Schizosaccharomyces pombe: one gene and its partners. Changing the gene in region 2 together with the main gene of any one other region gives a genetic interaction. Each region holds a gene or a part of one and is shown on either strand. Other genes may lie near its edges. The genes, in order: sam1, msa1 and nrd1.

Evidence for each region.
Region 1: of msa1 (region 2) and sam1, extra expression of one rescues a mutant of the other (dosage rescue), as found in Schizosaccharomyces pombe (one study listed by BioGRID).
Region 3: of msa1 (region 2) and nrd1, changing one enhances a phenotype caused by changing the other (phenotypic enhancement), as found in Schizosaccharomyces pombe (one study listed by BioGRID).

Annotation. Positions count from the first base shown.
Region 1 is NC_003423.3:4,160,584-4,167,141, reverse strand, and holds sam1 (S-adenosylmethionine synthetase), read left to right. Parts: upstream 1-3,283; 5' UTR 3,284-3,465; coding exon 3,466-4,614; 3' UTR 4,615-5,073; downstream 5,074-6,558. Other genes in the region: Fe-sulfur ATPase Rli1, read right to left, coding at 265-1,989, 2,427-2,483. UniProt on the Schizosaccharomyces pombe protein: Catalyzes the formation of S-adenosylmethionine from methionine and ATP. The reaction comprises two steps that are both catalyzed by the same enzyme: formation of S-adenosylmethionine (AdoMet) and triphosphate, and subsequent hydrolysis of the triphosphate.
Region 2 is NC_003424.3:2,317,895-2,327,110, forward strand, and holds msa1 (RNA-binding protein Msa1), read right to left. Parts: upstream 4,932-9,216; 5' UTR 2,346-4,931; coding exon 744-2,345; 3' UTR 598-743; downstream 1-597. Other genes in the region: mix17 (CHCH domain-containing protein), read right to left, coding at 6,751-7,269; SPOM_SPAC6C3.03C (uncharacterized protein), read right to left, coding at 8,438-8,740. UniProt on the Schizosaccharomyces pombe protein: Negative regulator of sexual differentiation. Acts by repressing the transcription of meiosis-inducing, ste11-regulated genes.
Region 3 is NC_003424.3:551,947-560,268, reverse strand, and holds nrd1 (RNA-binding protein Nrd1), read right to left. Parts: upstream 4,984-8,322; 5' UTR 3,639-4,983; coding exon 2,049-3,638; 3' UTR 1,218-2,048; downstream 1-1,217. Other genes in the region: tryptophan-tRNA ligase Wrs1, read left to right, coding at 1-952; palmitoyltransferase Akr1, read right to left, coding at 7,330-8,322.

The DNA of each region.
Region 1 (6,558 bases), on a different chromosome or scaffold from region 2:
AGTGTAAATTAAAGAGACGTTCACACTCTGAGAATTTATTGTATTTCAACTAATATTTCATACAACAATTCCCAAATACCAAATAAATTCTAAAACAAGTGCCCAATTACCTTAAGCATAATTATATGAAATAGACAAGAACTTTTTTTCTCAAAGAAGGCCGCCTCCAAACAAAGCTTTTTTACAACCAAAACCAATTTTGAGTATACAATTATGGAAACAAGGCAAGTAAACATAATAGAACCCCAGTATAGCCATTAAACATTAATTTTCAAGGAAAAAATAATTTCCTGCATTCTTTTGCTCTTGATCCATTTGACTGTCGAACTTGTTGATACGTGGTCTCAAGGTATTAGGATCACGACGGAATGTAACATCCAAGTTCTTCAAGAAAGTGTTCATACCAGTAAGAAGTGATTGAGGAGGATTACATCTAGCATCACGAGAAGGTTGTCCCTCGAAAAGGATGACACGGTCAGCCAAATAAGTAGCCATGATAAAATCGTGTTCAACGATAAAAGCAGTCTTGCGTGAGTTGACAATAAATCTCCTAATAACCTTGGAAGCAATAATACGCTGCTCTGAATCAAGATAAGCAGAAGGCTCGTCAATTAAGTACACATCAGCAGGCATACCCAAAGCTAAGCAAATGGCAACACGTTGCAATTCACCACCAGACAAGTTCAATACCTCTTGATCAATGATGTTGTCAATGCTAAGAGGCTTGCAAACTTCACTCTGAAACTTGCCATTCAAGAAAGCAGCACGAATCTTTTTCAAAAACAGCATACGAACGGTACCTTGAAATTTAGGTGCGATTGTTTGGGGCTTCATGCTAATCTTCAAATCCGAGTTCTTAGCCATCCACTTGCAGAATGTAGTTTTACCAGTACCATTCTCACCAAGCAATACAATAATCTCAGCATCAGAAAAACCACCAGACTTAATTGTAAGCTTGAAATCACCTTGCTCAATGACATGATCGGGATAATTGTACTCCGCAGTTCTGTCAGCGGTAATTTCATCAGATGCGTCAGCAAGACGGAATGTCAATGCCTCAGAACGGAATCTCAAATTCTCGGTAGGAATATGACCGTCAAGGAAAATATTAATACCTTCACGAACAGAATAGGGGAGAGTGACAACACCATACATAGAGGGGACGCCGTATAATACACAAACGAAATCGGAGAGATAATCAAGGACGGAAAGATCGTGTTCAACAACAATCACATAGTTGGTAGTAGCCAACAAGCTGCGGATTACACGACCAGCTTTGAGACGTTGTTTAATATCCAAATAAGACGAAGGCTCGTCAAACATGTAAACGTCAGCTTTTTGAGTGGCTACGGCAGCAATAGCAAATCGTTGAAGCTCACCACCAGAAAGATGGCCAACCTCACGATTTAAAAGATTTTGAAGATCGGTGTGATCCATAACTTCTTCAAAATTATTGTTGTTTGCACGAGCTTTAATTAAACCAGATACAGTTTTGTCACCAGTTTTAATCGCCCGTGGGATATGATCAACGTATTGAGGTTTGATAAGAGCCTTAATGTTATCTTCAACAACTTTGGTGAAAAAGTTTTGAAGTTCACTACCACGGAAGTATTTGACAACTTCAGCCCAGTCAGGAGGATTATCATAACGACCTAAATTAGGCTTCATTTTTCCGGATAGGATCTTTAACGCAGTAGACTTTCCAATACCGTTAGTACCAACTAAGCCCAAAACTTGACCAGGACGAGGAGTAGGCAAACGATGAAGCTTGAAAGAATTAGCAGAGTAACGATGGGTTACTTCACTTTCCAAGTTAGTGGGCAAATTAATAATGTTGATAGCTCCGAATGGACATTTTTTGACACAGATACCACAACCAATACATAATGTTTCACTAATAAATGCAATGCGATCGGTAGGATTAACTTCAATACACAATTTACCGGTGCGCACGACAGGGCAAGACCGGCGGCATTCTTGCCGACATTTCTAAAATATTGGTGAGCAAACTAATAAAAACCAAACATTCTAAAACCAGAAGCATTAAAAGCAAAGGAAAGTTTCGTAAGCAAGCAATAAAACGTATTTTAACGTGACACAGACCACTTTGAAAGTTTATTTAAATTTTCGGTCCTTTACCTTACAAGAACCTTTAGATTCGTTTAACCAACATATGGTGACAGCCAAGCCAAGCAAAAATTTACTACTAGTCCGAAAGTGCTTGGCAGATCGTAACAGGATCAAAAAATCTGAACAGAGGTACAATCAGGGCAGTTAAAATATGTTTTAATACTTGAACAAACAAAATTTGACTCAACTCTTTTCGTGGAAAACTTTGTGCACACACAAAAAAGCTCCAGTCATCCACAACGAGTAGACTATAACCTTCTACTAATAAAGCTCCTTTAATTTTTTTATTTTCTTACCTTTGGTCTACACTTATCCTCACTAACAATGGCGATTCTAGTAAGACTTTCGCTCATGGTGTTGAGTAGGGTGCAGTTGGCAAAGGACAACTTAAGGTGCGCCCAATTTTTTGCTTGTACTACCAGTCAACCTACTACAGTTTATAAAAATGCTACATTACATTTCGAATAAAATAAATAAAAAAGATAAATTCAAGTTTCTGAGACTGTAGAAAGATGTATTTTCTTAAATCGTCATTACGAAAATTTTTTATTGCCAATACGGACCTAGCGCTAAGTCATTGCCCATTTAATTGCAGACCAAATAATTGGTCAAAGATATGAAAGTTTGGAAGAGCCAGTTTTTGCAATTAAAAAACATAAGAATGAAGAAAAGAAAAACATCCTTCAATCTGCATAAATACTTATAAGATGCACATTGCATTAGCACACTCAATGCCCAAGTCCAGCCAATATCTAAGGGGACAGCTGGGTTTATTATATATTCAAGCTTCTTTAAATATCTACTAAATTTGCAGTATATAGTTCATCAATCGTAAACATAATTGTAAAAATAAATTGACAGTCAAAGACCCTTCTACTTTTACTTCAAATTGAAAATACAGCGATTTATCAAAATACGAAATACACTTTTTCGTGCTTTCCTTATTTTTTTAATTCATTACAGTCTAGCACTATAAAAAATTTAACATACTATTACCCCTGCTTTTAAATAACAATTGCGCAGAACAATTTGTCTCTACCAGATATCACTATTCTAAAATTGCTCAAGAAATTGAAAAAATGGCGCTACCATCCTGATAAGCAGTCACAACTATAATCAGCATATAAGGCTAAAGAATAACCTTACTTGCTTTACGAAACCTTGAGAGCTTCTTTTGACGAAATTCGCAAGCATATCTACATTTATTAGATTCATTGATAAAGAAGGGTTTTCATTGTTTCCTTATATTTGACGAAACTAATCGCTTGTCTTATTGTTCAATCTTTTCTAGTTTTTTGATTCCATATTTCCTTTACAAGTATCTTGGATTCCCCAATGGCTCAAACTTTTTTGTTTACTTCTGAATCTGTCGGTGAAGGTCATCCTGACAAAATTTGCGACCAAATATCTGACGCTATTTTGGATGCTTGTTTGAAGGATGACCCCTTTTCCAAGGTAGCATGTGAGACCGCTTCCAAAACCGGTATGGTAATGGTTTTTGGTGAAATTACTACTCGCTCACAAATTGACTACCAAAAGGTTATTCGTAATACCATTAAGAGCATCGGTTATGATGACTCTGAGAAGGGTTTCGATTACAAGACTTGCAACGTCCTCGTCGCCATCGAGCAACAATCTCCTGATATCGCTCAAGGTCTTCACTATGAGAAGGCTTTGGAAGAGCTCGGTGCTGGTGACCAGGGTATTATGTTTGGCTATGCAACTGATGAGACCCCCGAGAAGTTACCTTTGACCATTCTCCTTGCTCACAAACTCAATGCTGCCATGTCTGTCGCTCGTCGTGATGGATCTCTTCCATGGTTGCGTCCTGATACCAAGACTCAAGTCACTATTGAATATGAAGAGGAAAACGGTGCTGTCATCCCCCGTCGTGTAGATACCATCGTCGTCTCTGCTCAACACGCTGATAGCATCTCTACTGAAGACTTGCGTTCTGAAATTTTGGAGAAGATCATTAAGCCTACTGTCCCTGCTCATTTGTTAGATGAGAAGACTGTTTACCACATCCAACCTTCTGGTCGTTTCGTTGTTGGTGGTCCTCAAGGTGATGCTGGTCTCACTGGTCGTAAGATTATTGTTGATACCTATGGTGGCTGGGGTGCTCACGGTGGTGGTGCCTTCTCTGGTAAAGACTACTCCAAGGTCGATCGTTCTGCCGCCTATGCTGCTCGTTGGATTGCCAAATCTTTGGTTGCTGCTGGTTTGGCTCGCCGCTGCCTTGTCCAACTCTCCTATGCTATTGGTGTTGCTGAGCCCCTTTCTATTTTTGTCAATACTTACGGCACTTCTTCCAAGACATCTGCTGAGCTTGTTGAAATTATCCGCAAGAACTTTGACCTTCGTCCTGGTGTTTTGGTCAAAAGCCTTAAGCTTCAAACTCCTTTCTATCTTTCCACCGCTTCTTACGGTCACTTCACTGATCAATCCAAGCCTTGGGAACAACCTAAGGAGCTTAAGTTTTAGACAGATAGCTTAGTGCTATCATTAGCTTTTCTCGTTTGTTACGTTAAATACGATTAGAACATGTAACGAATTCTCAGTTGATGGCTTTATGGATACATGGTTTTCTTTAAAGATGAAAAGATTTTAGAGTTGTCTTTATTTATTCTATGTTTGCTTCTTTGTTCTTCAATTGTGAAAGATATATGGTTTTATATGTTAAGTCCTGGTTCAACGGATATGTATTTTTTTTTGGACTGGGTAGGCACAAATTCAACCTTTGTGTTTATGACTGCATCTCGAAGCGGAAAATACACTAAGCCAAAAATTTTTTTGCATACCGACATGTTAATGTTTCTTTTACCGATAGGCTTAGTGTTATTTGATGCTTTTCACGATAGTTATTATTTGCTGACTTTCAACTAGTTGGCCACTTTCGTTTAAATTGAGTTAATTATATGTTAATGGATTTGGTTCAAGACATAGTGTTTTAATCGTATAAGAACGAGTACTCATCTTCACTGTAGCTAATTTAGCTCGCTCACTTGTAACAAGGTGCATGCACACACAATACAAGCGTTTTGATTTTATTGTAATTTGTAATGAATTGAAAATGTCAAACTTAAAAAGGTAGACAATCATTCAGCTTTCAAGATGATCTGTGATAGTAAATGTCATTGGATTAAAACACATTGCTTGCTTACATTATTGTATTTATGGAATAAGCGATGGATTCTCAGCGATCCTAAAAGTACTTAGAATTATATTGGTCTTTTTTTTTGTAGTATAAATATTCAAAAATTCTTCACTAGATGTCTACGGCCATACCTAGGCGAAAACACCAGTTCCCGTCCGATCACTGCAGTTAAGCGTCTGAGGGCCTCGTTAGTACTATGGTTGGAGACAACATGGGAATCCGGGGTTTTGTAGGTTCCTTCTTTATTATTGCTGTTTGGTTTTTACCTTCTCTTTTGGAGCATATTTTGAGTACTGAATTGTGAATCTCAAATTCTATAGATGTTGCTACTCGTTGATTAAGCAATGCTAGAGCAGACTTTGAACTCTCAAATCAAATAATTAAGAAGTTTATGAAAGAAGGCTCTTGTCTTTGTCATGGGTATCGTCAAGCAAAATTCGATGTCTACATCAGATATTGTATAGGAAAATTATCAGATGAATTAGGAAGCATTGTCAACATGCAGAAAGAAATACGGTGTACCATAATACAACATTTGGAATATTTACTTCAATCTGCTAAACTACTTTAGAAGTCAACCACATAATATGGTATTGTCAGCAATACTGCACTACGATATGACATACTACGTTGCGTATCACTATATGTCACATGTTCAACATCAGATCATAGATATCCGTTGATAACAACTATTAGAAAGATTATAAATAGAGCTACAACTGAACCTCGTTCCTCAATTCAGTTATGAGCTATATCGGTGACCGATACTAACAGACTTCTTATAACAATAAATATACATTGTTAGTTAACATACCGCATACCGCTACATTGTAGATCGCAAGTAAAAACTCACCGCAGTTCTATATATCGTTAAAACAGATATCAAACTGCGTAGCTAACCAGTATATATTATAACAATACATGAACCTACGGTAAGTTTTCCTTGTGATCTATATATTGCAATATGTAAATAACACAGTAGCAACTGAATAAAAGGTATTCTAATATTTGAAATGTATGCTTTATCTTTACTGAAAAAGCCTTAGCTAAAGTGGAGAACGAGATTCAGTTCATCTCAGTTTACACTATGAATTGCTAGTATTGTAACAGCTAGTTATCTTATCATATTATATAATAAAATCTCTAGCATGAAAACTTATCACGTTAAGTTGGTAGAGTAAATAAAACATGGGACATATAGTGATACGCACGAAATGAATACACAGAGTATGTTGTATTGTTGATGTCGAAAAGTGTGTCTTCATGCTGTG
Region 2 (9,216 bases):
GAATGAAAAGAAACAAGAATATATAGCAAACGAAATTGGGAGATGTATAAAGAATCAGTATAGCAAGGAAACGTATACCCCGTATATAATAGTCCCTTGTAAACTTATGCTTGTCCTGTCTTTATAATTTTTTTCTTTTTCTGGTTCTTTACCTCACGAACCTTTTTTTGTATTTAGTGTCTATAAGGAATATTTATATGAAACTAGTGTTTTGAGAAAGTCTAAAGCTATGAAATAGAGGTCTGTTAAAAAAAAAACTAATTTTCTTTTTTCAGTTCGCCAGTAAGCCAAAATAAAAAGTTCACGTAATATTACAGCCTCAAATTAAAAATTTCATAAAATGAATTGACTTTATATAGTATTTTTGTAAAAATTTATGTAGTGAAAATAATCAAATGGTTAGAGTGTATACGATACATGTGTGAGAACATCTATATTTGGGAGCATATATAAATAAACTTCTATCTAATATCATTATATCGTTAATGCGTAAAGTAGAGAACTGTTACGAGTTACACTAATTCGTAAAATTATATAGAAGACATATATATGAACATAATAACATTTATGACTCTAAATCTTTTAAATATAATTGCAGCCAATTTGCATCTTTTAAGTAAAATAAATTAGATAATTATTAGTGTTTTATAGAATATGTACCTAATAAAAAAAACTCCGACACTTAAGGACTGTATAAAGAAGTGAAACCTCAATCAGATAATGAAGGGAAATTCAAAATAAATCTAATTCCCATCCATAGGTGGGTTATGCGTATAATACATCGGACTGTACGATTGAGGCATAGCCATTTCTGGAGAATAAATGGGATAGTACGACTGAGGAATTGATGTGGGAACGGCACCAGGAGGAAGGGTAGCCATTGACTGGTGAAATGTTGAAAACTGATCCATGGGTGCAGGGATTGGCATCATTGCATTACGAGGTGGTGAAAATGGCGCTGGAAACATCGGATATGGATAGGAGGGATATTGATATTGAGGGGAAAATTGCTGCATTGGTCTTAGTTGACGAAATTCAACACGCAAAGGCTTTTTCTGGTGTGGGGACCTCGTCTTACCGCAGACGGCAGCATAAGCGGCTTGTTGAGAATCAAACCTTAGAAAAGCAAAAGCAGGCTTCTTGCTTTGATGAATTATTTTACAATCGATTACCTTTCCATATTTGGAAAATAGATCAACTAGTAAGTAGTGTGTGCAATTTACTGGGTCGAGTTGGCCAACGAATATAGAATAAGGATCAATCGGTGGAGGCATTGCAGCAAACATCATAGAGGGGTTCATGGGATATCCAGGCTGTTCAAAAGAACCATCTGTTGGGAGTTCGGCCTTGCCGCTTTCTAAAGAGGGTATTGAAGGTAATATACTCGGTAAGGAGCTTAAAGATTCATTAGGAGTACTGAATTCAGTAGAATTGACCAATGAGTGAGCAAAGTATGAGGGACTTTGAACCGCGGAATTTGATCTTCCCATGGTAGAAGGAGGATCGGAAGAAACTGAGAATGGAATAGGGGCAGGTGCTTTGATAACAGGAGTGTTCGACTGATCTTTGCCTTGCGACTTTCGCCTTCGACTATGTGCGTTAGGTGGAGAAAACGGGGAGGAACCTTTCTTCTTATAGTGACCGTTTTGATATGTCACATTTTCCGCCCAAAGTACAGGCCAGGCAGAATGCTTAAGCGCGGTATAGGCTGCGATTGCTTCATCCCTGTAAACAAACCGTACTAAGAAAGCGGATTGATCTGGTATTTCCGTGACATCTTCAACCTCGCCATAAGGTTCCAATAAGTTATCTATGTCTTTTTTTGTAATGTAAGGTTGATGGGGTGCAGAGGATATACGGATTGTCCTATTAACTTTGGCGCGCTCTATACGTATATGACGGCCATCCAATATCGTGTTTTGGGCTTCAGAAAGTGCTTTCGATGCATCATCAGTATTTTGAAATTGAACAAAAGAATAAGGCCTTTGCAACCAATCTTTCAAAACTTTGACATGCAACAAAGGACCCCACTGTTGAAAGTAATCTTTAACAGTGGCAGTCAGCTCTTCCTCAGACCTTGAAGAGTTTAAGCTAGCAACAAATAAACAGGCAACTGGTTTTCCACGGACAGACGACGGATTTAATACTCCACTGGAAGAGGAACTTGGGATAGGGGTGCTTGATGATGCAGTTTCCAAAGGAGGCTTTATAAAGGTAGTGGAATTATCATTTTCGGATAAAGAACCTGGGGGAATGTCTTGTAAAAGCGTTGTTTTTTCGAGTTGGGCTGATAATTTTTCGACAGGAGAATGCAATAAAGATACAGACGGAGAGGAAACAACCATTTTTAAATAATGTGTTTAAAAAAAAAGTTTGGAATGAGAAAGGATCTATAAAGGGGCATGAAACAAGGATGCCGGATTGATATCAAATTAAAAAGACAAAACTTTATACGAGATGCCTGCGCCAAAGTGGGATGGAGGTCGTATCAGTCGATTATATGGAATACAATAGATAGTTATGAGATGATGTGTCAACAGCAATCCAAAAGCTGCGTAGAAAAAAGAATGAAAAGTATTTCAACTGAAAAAGTTAAAAGTTAATTAATTTAAAATTTCCTTCAAAACAAAGTTTAAAAAAAACCCCAGAGAAAAAATTTGGTCAAAAGAAAAGATAAATAAAATTGATCAAAGAAGGGATAGGAAAAAACGAATGGGAAAACTTTTACTCAGGTAATAAAATTGCAGAAATAGGGAAAGAAAAAAACGCAAGCGTATGGTAATTTAGTGCAAAAATGCAAAGATAAAATAGAGATTATACACGTATAAATAAGAAAGAAATGGAATGGCTCTTAAAAATGACGAGTCAAAAGAAAGAAAGAAAGAAAGGATGAAGATTTTGAGAAACCAGCTGAAACAGAAATGGAAAATGAAAAACCAAAACCAGAGATAGACAGTAGGTAAACCAAACGAGACTTTGCAGTCTAACAATAGTCTAAGGAAAGCCCAAAGAATAAATATATATTTGAGTGGGGGAAACGAGTATTTCCAGAATAAGAGTCAGATGATGAGAAAAGTAAAATGGGGAATAGAAATAGCTTGCACGGTGATCAGACCGTGAAAGAAATTTCACAAAGATGAAATTTCAGTTTTTGGGTGATGGATAGAGAGAACTCTTCTCAAGTGGAAGCTAAAAAATAATTGGATAAGCTTGAGGGAGTAGCAAGTTCGAATTGAAAAAGGTGAAAGAATCAAAGAGCAGTACAATTGCAGTTGAATATCTCGAAAAGCTGAACACAGAGAAAGTTTGAGGTGAAAAAGAAAACAAATAAAAATAAAGAAGCCAGTAAACGCAACAAAAGGTGCAAGAGGAGAGCGAAGGAAAGCTCAATGGCACAGACAGAATCAGATGAGAAGAGAAGGTAAACGCAGTCTCACTAGTATTTCAAGCAATGTGGAGGTATTCGATAGATAACAAAAGAAAAGGAAAAAAAGAAAAAATGGGTGATCAGAAATGCAACAAAACTGATAAAGACAGGATGGAAGACGGGGAGACGTCTCAGCAAAAAGGAAGCAACCCACACAAAGAGAAATTGAATTTAGTATGTTAATGGAGAAAGGAGAGAATCGAAAACCCTCGAATAGCAATTGATTTAGGTGAAAGCAAAGAAGGGGGTTATTCACGACGAAGGTTTAGATCTGCTCGGAATATACGAGGAAAAGACATTGTATATCAAGACTACTTGCAAACTCGGGGATTTCAACACGTGTTCTTCATCGGTAATGTAGGCGGCATAAAAGAGGACAAGGGACATTAGGGAGCAAAACCAGACGATATGATTAACTAAAGGAGCAATACATCCGAATCCTGCTTACACTCTAATAATTAGTCAAACGACCAAGACGCTGCCTCAAATCCTCAATCTTTTAGTAATTTTACCGTTCTATTTGGGCCATATCATTTTACTAAATTCTAGCCATTCTCCTTTACCACGATTGATAGGCAATTGTCCATTCGGAAGTATATCACTACTGCCAACATTTCCCTCTCCACAATGTCTTAGATAGTGGGTTACAGGGAGTATAAGGAACAAGCTAGTATTGACAAATGATGAGACATTGAGAATTGGGCACAGGGTAATGGGCTAAAAATTGGGTGCTGCACCGAAGCATCCTTTGGTTGTGAAGATAAGCAACTACAAATTTTAGGAGTAAGTTAACAACGGCCCCATGGAGATAGAAAAAGGAAGAATGCTAAAAGTCGTGAACAAAGGCGTAATCGTCAAAGAAAGGTAAATTGCAAGCACAATGAAAAAGATGATTTTTTACAATAGGATCCAATAAAGCGAAAAAAAAAACAAATAAATAACTAAAGAAAAATAAATTGAATTTTGATTAGTATACAAAAAAAAAATTAAGCACAATCTAGATGAGCAACAAAGAAAAAAAGGGAGACCTTTAAAAGAACAAGGTGAATATGTTATATTACTGTCTGGATTAATGACTGACAAAGACAGAATACGCAAGCTATAGCCAAGCTAAGAAACGAAAAAAAAAAGAAAAGAAAAAAACAAAACAAAACAAAGGTAGTTAGTTTGTCAAGCTATGAATAAACTATTTTCGTCGTATTTTCTTGAGCGTTCTATAGACTGTTTATTCAACAAAGCAAAGCAATAGTATAATACTAGTAGTAAAAGGAGTAACAATAGGAAAAGCCAGCTTAGCGTGTACCGAGGTTTTCTCAAAAAAAAAAAAAAAAAAAAAAAAAGGAATCGCTTGCTGAGATATCGAACTCTACCCCTTGAATCTAACATTCACATGACCTTTTGTTTCTTTGTTTGTCCCCATTTCTAGATGTGTTTTTACCTTGGAATAAAGTCTCGGTATTCTAACTCCGATTGCCTATCTCTAACACTTTGTAGTGGGATGTGCAGGGAGCAAGCTAAATGCACGCACTCTGATGGAGTGAGTTCTGGATAAGTGACAGCTGAGTATAACGATAAACATCGTCGTACAGTTTAGCTTCCCTTTGAAACAAAAATTTTAAGTATGTGTAATGGTGCTTATTTATCGAGGAAAAGGGTGAATCTATAATAAAGAATGGATCGTTGGAATGTAGAAAGTAGTCGATACTTGAAAGTGAAAACAGATGTTGAAAAAATTAGTCGATGTTTAAATGTTTAAAAATAATAATAATAATACTAATACTAATTTTAATTCTTGTATTTTGCTAGTTAAACTAGAAAACTGCCAACGAAATACAAGCATACATACATATCTATATCTATATCTATATATAGATATAGCTATGTTCCTTTCCAGACACCAGTAGACTCGGTCTATATCGCCAGCATTTCTTAGACTAGGATTAGAATGGGATAAAAATATGAAAAAGGGAATGCTGAGGAAGGATGAATAAGAGTCGTTATATGTTTTTCTTTACTGTTTACTTTTTCTTTTTTTCTTCTTCTTTTCTAGCTCGCCTTTGGCCCAAATTAAGCTCATTAACCTGATGCTGTCAGATATGACTTGACACTCTCTGTGATACTACATATGCAGACAATTTCTGGACGAAACATTAAATTTTCCGATCTTCAATCAACGTTCCGAAATGGTCTACAGAAAGAGTAACAACAAATTGTATGTAGCGTTGGATATGAAAATGCACTGCGTGGCATAGCATACAATACTCTTACAAATGCGCTTGGCAAAGACGATTCAATTTAAGATTGCTGTTATGCTTACAGTATAAACCAAAGCAGCAAGAATGGAATCCCCGTCCCGTAAATTTTTTTTTCTTGGTAATACGTTAAAAGTATAACTTGGCAGACATGTCGAAACCGATCATTTGTAAATCAGCTTCTCTTAACTATCTCTAGTGGATGCAATAGTATGTTAAACTAACAAACACGAGTACATTTGAAAGACTCATAAACCAAATTCGATGATGATCCTTTTGTTGATAAACCGTTTTATGGTGGATCTTTGGCGTATCCTATCCCTTACTCTTCTTTCAGATATGAAACAAAGTAAATAATAGCCGAGGCAACCATCTATAAATCATCATTGTTTAGCTGCTTCCCCCCCCTAACATGGGACGTAAGACAATGAAAGTTTAATTTGCTTTTAATTTTCGTTTTGAAAAAAGTTTGTTAGATATGGTTCGCTTCCAACCTTCCTACTTTAATAAACAAGTCGGAACTCCAGCTAGCATAAAATCTGTGGGAGAACTCTCAAAATGCTTTGAAGAGTGACTGTATCGATTGATTGATTGATTGATGGGGTGAACTAGGTAGCTGTATGAACTGAACCATCCCTACTATTAAGAGGTATGAAAACGTACGCATGTTAAGAGAAGCTCTAACTACATTACCATACTGTTATGTACTACTCTTCTCCAAGCCAGATCATAGAACTTTCTAAAGAGCATAGATTTCATTTAATTTATTTATCAAGCTTTCTAACTACGTTCTTCGTGAACTTTTTTATTACTGGGCCATTTTAAAAAAAAAGAACTTCATTACTAAACCAAACAAAAAAAATACCATATATGATTTATTTCTTCTCGTTCTTATACTATGTCTTATACCAGGGAAACCAGTTATTATTTACTGCTTAACAAATGCTATTAGGGTTCAACGTTCTCGTTAGTAGAAACATGAAAAAAAAAATTTCGATGCTGATGCTGATGCAAACAAACTGGGCATAACTTTTATTTAATAGAAAAATAAATAAATTAGTTCATTGCCTCTTATTGTTGGTTGGACCACATGGCCTGACAAGCCTTTAGCTGTTCCAAATAGTAAGAACATTGACTGAACTCATGCTCATTTATACAATCTGCAAACATTTTAGCATCGCCCTTGCAAGCATTCTTCGCCTCTTCAGAAATAGCACTGCTGGCAAAGGTGGATGGAGGTGCTGAACCATAAGCGGCTTCTGGAACACTGTTGCTGTAACTAGATTGAGGTACACTAGTATCAGCTGGAGCATTGTTGGAACCACTTCCAGAAAAACCGCCTGTTATGACGCTGCCAACCGTGTGTCCGATAGCACTTCCAATACCAACACCAGCCGCTGTACTAACCAGATTGCCGAAGAATCCAGGTGAGCTGCCTCCTTGGACGGCGGTGGGAGGAGGAGCCTGTTGCACACGACTAGGAGCAGGAGGAGGTGCCATTGTCCTAGGAGGTAAAGCAGCAGCAGTGGAAGCACTTCTGGCAGGAGCTGCACGGCGAGGAGGAGGTGCGGCAGAACGTCTACGAGGCATCGTACTTATTTATGTGAAGAGATGGAAATGGGCAAAGGAAGTAAGAGATAAACAAAAAAGGATTAAATTTTATGAAAACTCGTTTACGATATCTGCAAAGGAATACCGTCAATGAAAGGATAAACGATATACGAGTGTTTAAGAGGCAGATGGCGGAGAGCACGAATATATATAGCGTTGCTAGAAGAAGCTGAAGAAAATCGATGAATGGAGAGAATCGTTCCGACCAAACATCGTCTTCGCTATAGCGGATTGGAAGACATGAGGTACAACTTGGATATTTGCACCACTCAAGTCGTATAGACCAGATGCCCTTGGGGTAACAGTTACCTAACAATCCAAGCTGGTTTACTAATACAAATGGATGCACAAGTTTTCAATAAAGAAAGAAAATTGCAACTTCCATCACTTTCAAAACTTTTATTTATGATTTTATCTATCATTCTCAATAATCGTAAATTTTGGACACATGTATGCAAAGCAATTTGACTTTGTTTTTTTTTTTTACGTAAAGAAACTTTTTTAGCCAACATTATTTATAACGTAGTGGATAGAATCATGTTATTATTAATTAGACGGTATATATTCCAAAAAATAAAAATAAATAAATAAATAATAAATACGATAAGTAAGGGAATATATGAGAAACAATTATATAATTGATCAATTTAACCTAAATAGATACACATCATCGACTTGGTGAGTCAGAGTATAAATGAGATTATTGGAGTTTTGTTATGCTATTGTATAAAACTATGAAGCAGCTCCAGGTTCCACACTAGTGAAATAGCAAGATTGTGAAAAATCAGCTTATATAAATGTTTCAGTTGATTTCAAATGATGTTACTCTTAACTCGTTTTAAATAAATGGGTGTATGTGAAATAACGAAGCAATTTGGGAATGCAAAATCTAATATGTACGTATTAGTTGTTGATGGATCTCTTTATATTTTTATATGGAAACACTAGTAGTCATGGTTTTAATAGAAAAGCAGTCTAGAGAGATATGTTGGAATTCGATACTTTGCATCAAAGTGTTCTATTTATTTATTTATGTTGCGTCTGTCAAGTCAAAGCACTTGAAATGACTGTTGTTGTAAAAAAAAGGAATCCCGAAGAAAAATTATATGTTTTTGAATTAATTCATTTCTATATTTATTTTTAAGAGCTATTTTTGAGTTTTGAATCCTCTAGCCAAAAAGTAGTAACTACAGTCTACACGCTCTCTTACCTTGGCCGACGGGGTATGTACAATACCAACTCGAACGGTTCCCCACATGGTTCTCCAATGTGGGATACTTGGAATGGTATTCAGTAACGATCTAAAAGTCGCAATTCTAATATTCCACCCCCACTTTGTCTCATTGGGGTCCAAGTTTTTGGATGGGAATAAAAAGCGAAACGAGCTGTAACGCTTAGCGTTAGTGAAAATAGCGATTACCACTAGCAATCCTAAGAAAAAAACATCCATCTAAACTTCGTCAATAGCAATGGTTGAGCAGTTAGAAAAAGTTATCAAAAACTTTCTTACCTATAAAAATTATTTTCTTGTCGCTTGTCAACATCTCTATTCATTTATTCACTCCCGATACATGCATATGCATTGCCGTAACGCACATGCAAGAGATGAAGCTACTTCAGTCAACGTTCATTGAGTAAATATTTGCATAGCTAAGCAATTCTTTTCTGTATCTATTGTAGTACTATGTTTGACTGAGAAATCCGCTACCGCGGAAGTTCTCCTAAATTTTGATCTTTACTGATATCATTAGCTCGATCGATCGGAGCAACTACCCTTTTTTACCTGATCAAGACAAGCAAATTCTCGAAATTCGGCTTGTTATCTATTTAAAATTTCAAAAAAAAAAAAAAAAAAGAAAAAAAACTTATGAGAGATAAAATTTGTAGCACAAAGTATGGTAACCAAGAACCAAAGATGCGTTTATT
Region 3 (8,322 bases), 1.8 Mb from region 2:
GAAGAAACCTTTCTATTTGTATACAGGTAGAGGACCAAGTAGTGACAGCATGCATTTAGGCCATATGATTCCTTTTATGTTTTGCAAGTGGCTTCAGGATGTTTTTCAAGTGCCATTGGTCATCCAGTTAACGGACGATGAGAAGTTCTTGTTTAAGCAAGGTGTTTCCTTAGAGGATTGCCAACGATTTGCTCGTGAGAATGCTAAGGATATTATTGCTGTTGGGTTTGATCCAAAAAAGACTTTTATTTTCATGAACAGTACCTATGTTGGAGGTGCGTTTTATCAAAATGTCGTTCGTATTGCGAAATGCATTACTGCAAACCAATCCAAGGCTTGTTTCGGCTTCACCGATAGTGACTCTATTGGAAAAATACATTTTGCGTCAATTCAAGCCGCTCCTAGCTTCAGCAGCTCCTTTCCTCATATCTTTAATGGCGCCAAAGATATCCCGTGTTTGATTCCTTGTGCAATCGACCAGGATCCCTACTTCCGCTTGACGCGTGATGTTTCTGGTAGGTTGAAATTTAAGAAGCCTGCACTTTTGCATAGTCGCTTTTTCCCAGCTCTCCAAGGACCACAATCAAAAATGAGTGCCAGTAAAGATTCTTCTGCGATTTTCATGACTGATACTCCAAACAAAATTAAAAATAAGATCAACAGGCATGCTTTCTCTGGAGGTGGCGCTACAATCGAAATCCACCGTGAAAAAGGAGGTAACCCAGACGTTGATGTTGCATATCAATATCTTTCTTTTTTCCTAGATGACGACGAGAAGTTGAAACAATTGTACAATACCTATAAGGCTGGTACTCTTTCAACCGGAGAAATGAAAGGAGAGTGTATTAAGCTTTTACAGCAGTTCGTTTCTGACTTTCAAGCAGCACGTTCGAAAGTTGATGAGGCGACCCTTGATATGTTTATGGATGGATCTCGTAAGTTAGAGTGGTAGATGCGTTGTCTTTCTTTCATTTTACAAATAGTGTAAATTAGATACTTGTTTAAGTTGCATTATACAATGAAACTGAATAAACTGTTTTTAGATTGTGCTACAATGTTCAGCTGTTCTAATAAATGAGGAAAACATTTACAGCACCAAACGCACAATATAAATAGAGACTCAAATACTGATGCCTTTTCAAAACTCATTACTACGGTAGAGTTTTGTTATGTTTGCATTCATTAATTACCGAACTTTGTACAATCTCTCAACGACGGTGTAGGATGAGCAAAAGAAGAGATGTATATTTACCTAGACCAAAAATATATACATAAGATCATTAGAACAATTTCGGTTTGGAACTAGTAGACAATAATGGGTTGAAAAACGCATTTAGAACGCGACAAATAAACCATAATTAACAAACTAGCATTTAAATATGACCAGACAATCAAATTAAAGCTATTGTTAAGTATTAATCAACACCGTTGAAGTCTTCAGCAATCACTTTTGATAAAGAAATAACGTTGAAAATCGAAACATAAATATATAAGAATATGTAGAATGAAAAAAAAAATAAAAATAGAAGTCAGAAGTACATTTTAAAACTGTAATTGAAAATGTGGAAAGATTCGTCAATATTGTTTGCAAAAACGAATCAAAAACGAAGGACATCGAGCTTTTGATAGAAATACAAACTCGATAACCTCTAACATAGTAGAAAAAATGCCAAATAAAACAAAAAAAAACTGCTACTTCAACAATGAAGGTTTTATAATGCGTAAAAATGAAACAAAGTAAGAAGAAAAGAGTATGGGCCACGTTGAGTAAGGGGCATAAACGAGAGAAAGTAAAACGAAGGAATGTTGAAACAATAGCAAGTAAGGTCATTTAAACAAAAGAATACTTTTTCTTTTGTAATGCGAATGCAAATGGTTACCCTTAATAATCTAATGTAAAAAAGAAAGTGATTTTGTAAAATAAGCAATAAAAAAGTTCGTCAATAAAAGGTGTTTTATGAGCACAAATTGATATGAACTCAAAGCGCTGGAAAACCTTTATCCATAAAAATATCGAACACGTTTAAGAGCAAAACACTCTACAATATTTAAATATTGGAGTTTGTTGGCATAAACCCGGATATTCCTTGCTGAGGAACAACGAGATCAACAGGCATGCTCATATCAGAAGAGACAGAAAGAACGTCTGACTTGGAATTAGTTCTAGGTGGATTACCACACCTATCTTTACCATAACTAATTCGATAGTTTTCATATCCCTTCTTCTGCTTGATTCGATCAATCGCATTAATCGCACTTGCCAACGACGTAAAGTTAACAAAAGCGCAATTCTTTTCGCGGAAAAAGTTGACGTACTCAATTTCGCCAAATTCCTCAAAATCCTCTTTTAAGCGTTCAATAGTCAAAGAATCATCAGCATTGCCAATATAAATGTTACGACTAGCACCACCAGCAACGGCTAAAGCGATATTTGAGGGAAGAGGGCCGCTATGCTTACCCCAACCTATCTTTAAACGACGGTTGCGAATGACCAAACCATGAATGTTGGACATTTCAAAGAATCGAAAAGCAGAAACAGGGTCAACAAAAGTTACGAAACAAATGTGTTTTTCCTGAAGATAACGAATATTGTGTAACAATCCTCCACGAACAGCGTTACATATCTCTTCAATAGTAGTATCAGCATGGATATTACCAATGTAAACAGTGCGATTCCCAGTCATGATAAGATCCGGTTTTTGGAGAACCGGGCTTGGGGGAGGATACCCCATTACGGGATAACCGCCAACAACGCCGACTTGGCCTTTAGAAAAGTAAGCAGGTTGCTTCAAACCCACAGCGCATCTATCCCGTCCGTAGTAAATGCGCCGTTTGGACCATTTGGGGTTTAATGGTAGCTCTTGGACAGCTTTGATTGCAGCTGCAATGTTCAAAAAATGAACAAAAGCTATATTTCGTTCAGTTACGATTTTGATTTGATCAATAGGTCCAAATGGTTCTAAATCTTCACGAATTTCATCTTCAGTAATACCATTCGGCAAGTTGCCGAGGAATACATTCCTACAAGCGCCAGATTGCTGGACTGCAAGTAGTACAGATGAATTCGAGGCTGAGTTCTTGCCCCAACCAACTTTTACTTCAGTACCCCGAATTGTCAATCTCTTCAAGGCAGCATCTTGGAAAAAGGCAGTAGCGTGGCTCGGATCCAAAAAGGAAATAAAGGCACAATTTTTCTCAGGTAGAATCCATGCAGATTCAATTGGTCCCGTACGCACGCAAGAAAGAATCTCATCAATAGGGGTATTGGGAGGAAGGTTACCAACATACACAGTTTTAACAGGTTGTGTAGTGTTATTCGGAAGTGGAAAGTAACCCGGGGCAAAGTTAGCAACATTAGGACTGGTAACACGTGAAACATTATAGCCAGTCGTGGGATGAGCGGGAGCCGCTGCCATTTGGGTAGTGCTAAAGGGCAAGCCATGCATGGAAGTATAGCTCGTTGGGCTTTGAACAAAAGGACTCCCCATAAGAAGCCCGGTAGGGAGTAGAGCATGCGGTGTGTTTGGTGTAGCGAGACCTTCAGCACTTACAGTATGAGGGATAGTAAGTGGTGGTAAATGTGGAGTTCTTCCAGGGACAGAAAGACGGGACTGACTAGAGGGACTGCTAGAAGACATAATGACCGAAATCAATAACTGTTAAAGAAAGAATTATACTAAGAGCACAGCTGCTTGATTGACAAAGGAAGAAATGTAAAATAAAGAAATCAACGAGAGTGACGTTTGGTAACAAATAATAAAGGGGTATATCTTACAATTTATATCACTTTGAAATATATCGAAAACCAAAATCGGACCAATAAAGCTCACGAACTTAGGAGGCAACTTATGATGCGTTTAACGATAAAAATCCAAGCGGGTAATAAATGAATAGTTAAACAATATCGCTTAAAGCTAACAACAAGTCTGTTTAAAAAACTCAATTAGACGAGAAAGACAATAATTAATAGCAACGGAAAATCTTAGCCAAAAGAAAACTGTCAACGTCCAACGTATTTTTTAATTCTAAAAATAAGAAAACTCGTAATTCCCAAACTGAATAAGGAAACTTAGACTGAGAGGCACGTAGGCAAAGCGAATAAATGGAAGGAAAAAATGCGAATGAAACAAGCAGATCACAACAACCTCAACAAAATCTTGAATGATGTGGAAAGGAATATGAGCCTAACAATGGTAAAAATTTTTTTTTTTTTAATTTTTTAAAAAATTAAGCTTACTAAGTAAAGATACCGAACAAGAGTATTAGACTTACTCCAAGAAATTGATGGAGAATAAAACAAAGTGAAATGAACAAGAGTATGACCAAAAAAGCAAAGTATACAATTCAAAGTAGTACGAAAGAATAATCAATCAAAGAATTCTAAAGACGCGTAGAAGTGTATTTTATCTTATAAAAGAAGAGGAGAAAAGTCAACAGTATGGTCGACAGTGAAAGAAGGAGTTTTAGAGAAGAAAAAAATGAAAAGGGAAAGTTAAATTTCCAAGATAATAATGATTATGAGGAGTACAATGGAAGTAAAAAAAATAAAAAAAAAGAATATAGAAAAACTGGAATAAATATATTCGGAAGGCTTGGTAAAAATGCAGGGAAGAGAAAGTAGATTGAAGTCAATGCGTTCTAACGACCCAAAATATAGTATCACAGAGGAGTAAGAAGAGAAAAGAATGTGGAAATGAAAAAAGAAAATGAAAAAAGGCGATGATATTTATTTCACAGGTAGATTTAAAAGGTTGCTTAAAAAGCAAATAAAGGAGAAACAGAAAAAAAATAAGAGAAACAAGTACCAGTATTAGCGAATAATCAATAAGTATACCGCGAAACAAAAAAAATCAAAGCTTCAAAGTAATACACTCATATAAATGCAAATGGTAGAGAAAGAAATATGTTTTTGAGAAAAAAGAAATGAAAAGAGAAAGAATATTAGATATAGCCAGCGGCTATTCGTGTGGTTGAGTATTTGGTAGTGAGCACGTTAACGGCTTTTCGTTACTGCACTAATATTACTGCGTGCTTATAGAGAGAAACAAGCTACATGCCATTAACGATTATCCAGCGTACACCAACATGTGAATATGCCGCCCAAGGTAACATTAATTCTGGATGTTCCTTCAACGACAGAGCGCGAGTGCACAATCGAATGTAAACACTTGACAACGAGCATGGCAACGAAAACAAACAAAAAAGAATGCACTTGTATGGATTGCGGCAATGAGTTAAATAGTAATAGTGGTAAAATAAAGTAAATATATGCCAGTATAGACATATATTAGAATGGCCCACTAACAAGCACGCGCAAACCAAGTTTTCACACACTGTTTTAGAATTTTTCCATCAACGCCGCGTTGTAAATAAAAGTAAATAAATAAGCAGCCGAAGTGGCTCCCCGAGAGTTTCACACAATTTCGCCCACGTACGTATGTGATTGTGTGCTAAGCAGCGTGGGACTCAAGCAAATAGTTAGACTAACTTGATACAAATGCAGACATGTAATCATCTTCCACTTTGTATAAACACAACGAAAATTTTTATGGGGGTAAAGCTTCTGTCGAAATCTCGCCTCGCTATTTCAGATGATTAGTCGATATCAAAGGAATAATTCATAGAAAAAAGCATGTAGTGCCAAGTGACAAGTGATATCTAACGATAAGCCGCTCATAAAAAAATGTAAACAAGAATAATCAAGAATGTTGGCCGAGCAGAATAAATTCCAAAAAAAAAAATAAATCTTCTGCATGAAAATTTAAATTATCTCGTGCAACAATAAATAATGAAAATCACACAAAAATGATAACTTTGACCGTATGTCTTCTTCCCTGAACGCTTTGCTAAGATGTGACTTAAATCCTAAGCTAACACATTGTTCAAAAGTCTCCGCCTTGCACGGTAGAGGAATATTTTCCGCGTGAAATTTAGGGGGCGTAGACAAGCTCAGTAACTGTCAATTTTCACTTTGGATTTTTCTTTCTTTTTCATTCTATTCAGCTTAGTAATTCATTGACTATCTAATTTGTATTTATCAAAATATTCCGCTGTTGCTTAATCTCTATACACAATTTCGCTGTGAGTCGCTTTATGGTGGCCGCCAAGAAGGGTGAGCGAAAGCGCTCTCTAATTATTACACTGACTGATCAGATAGCTAAATAGTCTCCTGCAAAATTGAGTCTTCTGCTAACTTCAATGCCGCTGTAGCGTAGAAAAGTAGACTCGGTAGCTATTGACCTAAACATATCGACTTTTCTTCAACTCTGCAAACTAACGATTGTCAAGGCGTAAAGGTTGCTACGGAGATTTACATATTTACCGGCCAAGGCGTTTAGTCATTTGATTCACCGTGATCATCGGCTTTCGTTTTTTTTTTTAGAAACTCGGGTTAGCAGAGAAACAAATGCCATAAAGTAGAAAAAAGGCATATGCTCGTTCATAACACTCTACTTAAATTGTTTGTAAATTTTGTCAGTTTACGTAAAAATTTTGGTTGTATACTTAATGTTTAGCACTAATTGTCCTTATTCATAAAAAAAAGCAATACAATTTGTTTTATTAATTAATATTAAAGTAATTAGAACACGTAAAGAAGCAGATATTAGGTTTCAAACTACATTGCGATATCTTCAACGAACTACTAATGACTTGGTTTCTTCTGTAATCTTTTCCACTTAACTGTATTCTATTTTACTAATATAGTCTTATTGTAATGTATTCGTGAATCCTCCATTACCCATTTCTTACACTAGAAAAGAAAAGAAAAACTAGAGACCTATACACGTTTCTAAATAACAAAAGCGTATCTCATAAAGATAACAAGAACACTTGAGCCGCTATAAAAGATTGATATTTTTTGTTGGATTAAACAATCCTAAAGCCCAATTTTCTGCAAAAATTATGATCTAGCCATATATAGCCAATCTCTACATAGCAAAAATGAAACAAAAATCTTTTCATTGCAAAAATTAATAGCAAGACGCCAGGTTTCATCAGTTCACACGCACACAAGAAAACTTGAAGTTCAAGTAAACCTTTACTTGTTTCAATCTCATCCTCCCTCACGTTGCAACAGGGTCCAACGACCTTGGAATAAGAAACGAGCCGTTCTACAAATCAAGGATTTCACGATACGTGACATAGCTAGCATTTAATGAGATTCAGAGTGAATCGCGAATATTCTAGTCTAACTTAACTCAACACTCCCGCAACGATGATCCGTGGAGGGATTAAAATTAAATGATGAAGTGATAACTTTTTAACGTTATCAGGCATTCTAACGTTCCATTCTTAATGTTTATAATTAAATTTTTAATCGACAACAATTTAAACATGTCTTGTTGCCTCATCTTGCCGACCATCGTTAAGAAAGTTTTGCTTCCAAAATGTCTTACAGTTCTTAATTATGCTACCCTCATCATATGGATTGACTGTGGAAAGATTACGAGACAAAGAGGTAGAATTTTGGGAACCTAACTCAGCTCTCGATGGGAAACATCTCACAAAGCAATTTGATTCTCTAATTAACAATATACACTGATCCAATCCCAGGATACCACATACTGTACGTAGAAAGCTTCCATGAATTCCGTGACCATTTTTTGGAGATGAATTTTGCTTTGTAGGAGGAACGAGAGTTCCATATCGTTTAAATAGTCGGAATTCGGCTGTGGTCACGTTGTGAGCAACTTGACAAATCTGGGTAAAAGCTAAAACAACTACCCAACACCAATTCACAAACAAAGTTAGAGAAGCAACTAACACAAACATGTCTTTTAAAGACCACTGGCATATGGTACCAGAAATAAAAAGGCACCTATACGACTCGTATTTTTTTTGAATGGGGATATTCTGTAAATAATAAAATGCAACGTAAAAATAAATAGGAATTAAAGTAGACAATGTGAAGACAAAAAGAAGGAATGTTCTATGGTTCCGTGCCCCTACGCAATTTCCAGTCCAAGGACAATGGTGATCATAACGATTAATACACCTTTTACAAGCTCCACAATGATAAGAACGAGGAGGCTTAACTTGAAAGCATTTTAAACAATAATGAGATTGATTAAAAAGATCCTTGTCCAATAATTTGCTAATTTCTTCACGACGTTGAACGACGGCACCAATTTTGTCTACATATCCAGGATTTTGAAAAGCTGTACGAACATATAATCCAATACAAGTAAATGAAATCAAAACAAATAAAAGAGAAGAGAGAGGTTTTATGGGTAACGTCTTAGGTACTATATATAACAAAGAATGACACCATACCCAGAAGAAAATTGAGGAAAATATGCCAGCCAAGAATGGAGTTTCAAG